Kluyveromyces lactis: one gene and its partner. The protein of the gene in region 2 interacts with the protein of the main gene of each other region in a pairwise test. Links are inferred from orthologs where the notes say so. Each region holds a gene or a part of one and is shown on either strand. Other genes may lie near its edges.

Evidence for each region. The genes of interacting proteins can lie anywhere in the genome.
Region 1: the proteins of UFE1 (region 2) and SLY1 interact in binary tests that used the Saccharomyces cerevisiae proteins (3 or more experiments, as listed by UniProt). The link is inferred for Kluyveromyces lactis from reciprocal best matches to the Saccharomyces cerevisiae genes UFE1 and SLY1.

The regions. Positions count from the first base shown.
Region 1 is NC_006040.1:1,557,479-1,561,226, forward strand, and holds SLY1 (syntaxin-binding protein), read left to right. Parts: upstream 1-1,256; coding exon 1,257-3,185; downstream 3,186-3,748. Other genes in the region: chaperonin-containing T-complex subunit CCT6, read left to right, coding at 1-894; RVB1 (RuvB family ATP-dependent DNA helicase pontin), read right to left, coding at 3,286-3,748. UniProt on the Saccharomyces cerevisiae protein: Able to suppress the functional loss of YPT1. SLY1 is essential for cell viability. May interact indirectly, or directly with YPT1.
Region 2 is NC_006037.1:696,642-699,478, forward strand, and holds UFE1 (Ufe1p), read right to left. Parts: upstream 1,538-2,837; coding exon 548-1,537; downstream 1-547. Other genes in the region: ribosome dissociation factor GTPase HBS1, read left to right, coding at 1-471; CDC21 (thymidylate synthase), read left to right, coding at 1,985-2,837. UniProt on the Saccharomyces cerevisiae protein: Syntaxin required for targeting and fusion of Golgi-derived retrograde transport vesicles with the ER.

The DNA of each region.
Region 1 (3,748 bases), on a different chromosome or scaffold from region 2:
GTCAACTCTGGTTTCTTTTACAGCTCTGCTGACCAACGAGACAAGTTGGCTGCTAGTGAAAGAAAATTTGTTGATGAGAAATTAAAAAAAATCATCGACTTGAAGAATGAAGTATGTGGTATGGATTCTAAAGAGGGTTTTGTTATCATAAACCAAAAAGGTATCGACCCAATGTCATTAGATGTTCTTGCTAAACACAACATTCTTGCTCTAAGAAGAGCCAAGAGACGTAATATGGAAAGACTACAACTCGTCACTGGGGGTGAAGCTCAAAATTCCGTTGATGATCTTTCGCCTAAAATTTTAGGTTATTCCGGATTGGTTTACCAGGAAACTATCGGCGAGGAGAAATTTACTTACGTCACCGAAAACAGAGATCCTAAGTCTTGTACCATTTTGATTAAAGGTTCTACTCACCACGCTTTGACCCAAACCAAAGATGCAGTAAGAGATGGTTTAAGAGCTGTTGCAAATGTCATCAAAGACAGTGCTGTCGTTCCTGGCGCTGGGGCATTCTTCATTTCTGCTTCCCAGCACTTGAAAAGGGCGAATATGAACAAGCTAGGCGCCAAAGGTAAAGCAAAAACAGGTGTACAAGCCTTTTCAGACGCACTTTTGTCTATTCCTAAGACATTAATAAAGAATTCCGGATATGATGCCCTTGATGTACTTGCCCAATGCCAAGACGAGTTGGAAGAAGATGAGACAAGAATAGTGGGTGTTGATCTAAATATTGGCGACTCTTGTGATCCAACTATAGAAGGTGTTTGGGACTCTTATCGTGTCCTCAGAAATGCAGTAACTGGTGCCGCAGGTATAGCCTCTAACTTGTTGCTATGCGACGAACTACTCAGAGCCGGTAGATCTACATTGAAGGAAGGTCCACCACAATAATGAAGCTGGTACAATTAAAAAATATCACTGTCTTTAACGTAGGTTCCAAAATCAAATAGAATTATGTATACTAAATGGAAATAAATACGAAGTACAAGACTCAAGTTTGGCCGATGTATATGTAATATGCGATCTCTTCACGAGTGCTATAGATCCAAATCTACGTGTTGGCCAAATACCGTTTCCATCACCGAAAACGAAATACTAATATACTTCAAAAAATGATTAAACATCAAAACTGGAAGCACCTTTATAATAAACAGACACACCAAAAGTACAGAAAGTACGGACGAGAGTGAAGTCATTGACTGCAAACCATTGAACAGCATACCTCATCGGGATCACATATATACCAGAGTAATATGCTGAATTCAGAATTGTCCTTAAGAGACAGACAGATTCTGTCTATTGAAAAGATGCTACTGTTCAATTCAGATAAAGGAACGGAAGCAGCAACAAGCAATCTTGATGAACAAGAGATCGTTTGGAAAGTACTGATCATGGATGCTAGGAGCACCGCTATAATATCATCTGTTATGAGAGTCAATGACTTGTTAAAATCCAATGTTACAGTTCACGCCCTTATCACACAACAGAGATCCCCTTTACCTGATGTTCCAGCAGTGTATTTCGTGGAACCAACAGAAGCGAACATCGATGCGATTGTCCAGGACTTGAAAGAAGATAAGTATTCAGAAACATACATCAATTTCACAACTACATTGAAAAGAGATCTTTTAGAAACCTTTGCAAGCAAGGCTTCTGCTACTGGCAAGTCTGACAGAATAAAACAAGTGTACGATCAATATTTGGATTTCGTTGTAACAGAACCGGAAATGTTTTCATTGGAGATGCCCGGCACTTATGGACTTATTAATAATCCTCAGAGTTCTGAGGACGTTATCACTAATCTATGCGATTCAATTGCTACTGGGATCTTCAATGCTATCGTCACAATTGGAACTATACCTATTATTAGAGCACAAAGGGGTGGTGCTGCTGAAATGGTGGCTCAAAAACTTGAAACCAAACTGCGTGATTATGTCAATGGTACCAGATCTTCAGCTAGTGGATCAACTTCATTTGAGCGGTTTGTTCTTGTTATAGTGGATAGAAATATTGACATTGCTTCTATGTTTGCACATTCCTGGATTTATCAATGTTTGGTATTTGATGTTTTCAAATTATCAAGAAACACTATAACCATGCCTACCACCAACGAGCAAAACGAAGAGGTTATTAAAAAAATGGATATAGACCCAAAAGATTTTTTCTGGATTGCCAATTCTCATCTACCATTCCCTGATGCTGTCGAGAACGTGGAAACTGAACTTTCGAATTACAAAAAAGATGCAGAAGAAATTACCAAGAAGACTGGTGTAAGCAATTTGACAGATCTTGATCCAACAGGACAAAGTGACACTATACAAATTCAAGAAGCTGTGAAAAAATTACCACTTCTCACAGCTAGAAAATCTACCATTGATACACACATGACAGTTCTCGCAGGGCTTTTGAAACAGCTTGAAAGCAAAGGCTTAGATTCTTTCTTTGAGTTGGAACAATCTTCCGATTCTTCTAAAACCAGACAAGATTTCCTTGCTGCTCTTAAAGATGGAAAGACTAACAACATCGAAGATAAGGCGCGTACGTATATCATAATGTACCTGACAGCACAAGAAATATTGCCTAGCGCCTTTGTCAAAGAAGTGGAGCAATATTTCCAAAGCGTCGAGTATGATATCAGCGCATTAAAGTACATATATGATTTGAGACATATGTTCAAACTCTCTTCAATGGCATTACAAAATAAATCATTAGAAACGCATACATCCGCTAATTCAGAAGGCCAGGACGGTAACGCATCACAGCTTCTCTCCGGACTATCAAACAAGTTATATGGATTAACTGAGGGGAAAATACAAGGTGTTAGTTCTCTTCTTTCTGGAATCAAACAACTTCTTCCCGAGAAGAAAACGATTCCCATTACCAATATCGTCGAAGCCATCATGGATCCATTGAACAGCTCAAAAAAGAACCTTCACATTACAAGTGAATATCTTTACTTTGATCCTAGAAGCACAAGGGGTTCGCACGAGAAGCTACCAAAGAGTCAGACATATAATAAATCCTTGGTGTTTGTTGTAGGTGGCGGTAATTACTTTGAATACCAAAATCTTCAAGAATGGGTTCACCAACATGAAAATAGCAACAAGAAGGTCATTTATGGTAGCACTGATATAATCTCCCCTAACGGATTCTTGAAAGAGATCTCAGGATTTAAAAAGTGAGGTTATAATATAGATTTATGATTTTATTTGTTGTCAGTATATATTTATAATAAACTTATACTTTGATGAAGTAAGATGCCATGTTAACACGAAATTAAAGTTACAAGTAATTTTCAGATTGTTCCAAGATCTTCGTAGACCTTTTAGCATCTAAAAATAATAGCTTTGCTTCTTCAACATCTGCCACCGATATTTCGGCGCGGTTTGCAATCTTAGCAATGATACCTGATGGTGATAGAAGCTGTAGAACATAACGCAAAGAAGTTTCTGTGCCTAAAGTCGCCAAAAATTCCAATGCTTCGTCCTCCACCTGCAAGTTCTCTACAGCAGCTCTCTTTGATATGATTGTTTTGATCTCTTCTCTGTTATAAGGTAGAGTTCGAACAATTAGGAGTCTATCTATCAAATCTGGTGGAACACCGTGAGGAGAAACAACGTCGTCAGTGCCGCGTACGGTGATCATTCCTCTGTTTGAGGCCAAAACAACCACAGGTGCAATATCAGATTCTAATGCTCTGTTTAAGTAAGTAAATATTTCGATGTCAAGCATATTCACTTCATCA
Region 2 (2,837 bases):
TTATGCGGCAATGACTCTCAAAAAGTGGATATTGCATTACATGGAGACTTTGTCCAATTGAAGTTGCATAACGCCTTCCCTGAAGATATTCAAGGTGGTGATTTGGCATCTATCGTTGGATTTGATATCCCAAGCTCCCAAGAATTTACCTCAAGACTCTTGACTTTCAGGCTGGATAGACCGTTATTACCTGGTACCTCGCTCATGCTCTTTAGAGGTGCTACAGAACAACCTTGTAGAATCAAAAAATTGTGTTGTACTGTCGATAAAAGTAATCCATCTAAGGTTTTAAAAAAGAAAGTGAAGCATTTGGGTTCTCAACAAGCTGCCATAGTTGAGATCGAGCTGGTGGAGAAAAAAAGAAGAATCCCAATGCTAACATTCGAGCAAAATAAGAAGTTAGGAAGGGTGGTTCTAAGAAAGGAGGGAAGAACAATCGGAGCTGCGTTGATCAAATCTTTAGATTATTAAAAACTTACCGTACATATATACACCATTACGTATCACCGTGTAGTAAGCAATTGCAACAGAGAGAAACGAATTAACCTTAATTTATGTAATCGAAGAATAACAATAGCAGTCCACAAATTATAGCAAACCACATGACCATGTTAGCGAGCCTATCTCCTTTCCTGTTGGCCTGTTTCAACTGTCTGTTACCTTTTTCCATTTCCATCTCCACGTCAGTCTGATTATCGAGCAATGTATTAATATTTTGTGTTTGAACCTGCAAATGTGTAGCCAATTCACTCTGTAGCGATGCAATATCTACTGCGGTTCTCCGTAGTGCCTCTGCTTTTTGTAATTCTTCGTTCTTCAAATTAAGAAGTTCTTCATGCTCTGTGGCCAAGATTTGTAATTGTTCTGAAGAGAGTTTGGACATCGTTTCCTCGTACTGTTTGATTTCTTCAACAGTTGTCGTTATCATAGGAGACTGTGATACAGAAATTTCTTCAGGTAAGTGTAATTGAGCATTGAAATCAATGGCTTCGATATGTCTTTGTCTGGATAATCGTGTCTGCTGAATGGTTGACAACCTATCTGAAATCTTCATGAGCCACATATTCAATGACTGTAATATACCCATACGAAATTGATTATTCACCTTGTGGAAACTGGATACATCGTCAATTGATCTAGAGAAAAATGGTACGGTTGCGGACCATTTCTCTAACTTTTCTTTCATCATTTCTTGTCTCTGTCTTTCATACGATTCCAATTGCTTATATTTCTCGAAATATTGCTGTAATTGAAGTTTGCTCTCTGTATCAAAATCATCTTTCTCCTGATCAGTCATGTCAGTAGCACTTTCGTACCTGGGAGTCAATTGCCTTATCACTATCTGGAATTCCATAATATGTTTCATCAACTGCTTACTTTCTTTTACAAAAGTATCCTTTACACTAAACTTTTCCTTCACCTTTTCTCTATCCTCTCTCGCTTTCGTATTATTCAATTCGTTCCTAGCATCATCAATTCCCTGAGTCTCTGCAATCACTTGCATGTACTTTTTGAAGAGCTCAGTTCTATTACTCATATTAAGGTAGTCACTTTCTTTGTATATATTCTTTTTGACACTTACTCAACATAGAAAAGCTTGAACAAGGAACGCTTATAGTCCCAGATTAGATAGGGTAAACACACACGATAGTTGCCTCTAATTGGACAGTTAATAGACAGTATAATTACCAGTAGAACGGTACCTCCTTAACCAAAGTAACCTTTGGTTAAATTTGATTCGCATTCGTTTGCCAGACCAAAGCTTCATCGAGGATGGAATTAAGAATTTAGGTAGCACGTGACATTGTTTCACCATCATTACCCGGCCATTGAAAAATTCCCACAACACGAAAACGCGTTAAGAATCAGACTACGGCTTTTAAGAGTTAAAGGCCATCTCTAGTTTAAACTCTATCTTACTTCAACCATCCTTCGACTCCTTTGGCGTTTTATCGGATCATTAAACAACCAACATTTGTCAACCATGACGCTGAGCGATGAAAACGTGAAGAGAGTTAAGCTTGAGGCTGTTAACGCGGAAGAACAGCAGTATTTGGATTTATGTGAAAGGATTATCAATGAGGGAGAATTCAGACCAGATAGAACTGGTACAGGGACTTATTCCCTTTTTGCGCCTCCACAGTTACGGTTTAATTTGAGCAATGATACTTTCCCGCTTCTCACTACGAAGAGAGTGTTTACGAAAGGTATTATTTTGGAGCTCTTATGGTTTGTTGCTGGATGTACAGACGGGAAGAAATTATCAGAACAAGGCGTTAAGATATGGGAAGGTAACGGTTCTCGTGAGTACCTGGACTCACTTGGGTTGACTGACAGAAGAGAGGGGGATTTAGGACCAGTTTACGGGTTCCAATGGAGACATTTTGGGGCCGAATATAAGACATGTGATGATGATTATAGTGGTCAAGGTGTTGATCAGTTGAAGGAGATTATTCATAAGTTGAAGACAAATCCATACGACAGAAGAATAATTCTTTCTGCATGGAACCCTCCGGATTTCCCCAAGATGGCTTTACCGCCATGCCATGTTTTCTCGCAATTTTACGTCAGTTTCCCCAAGGGAGAAGGTGCCAAACCAAGATTGTCATGTGTACTTTATCAGAGATCATGTGATATGGGTCTAGGAGTACCCTTTAACATCGCGTCGTATGCGCTACTGACGAAGATGATTGCTATGGTCTGTGATATGGAACCTGGTGAATTTATTCACACTTTGGGTGATGCGCATGTTTATAAAGATCATGTTGATGCATTAAGGACACAAATTGCCAGAGAGCCAAGAGCTTTCCCAAAATTGAAGATAAAGAGAAATGTCA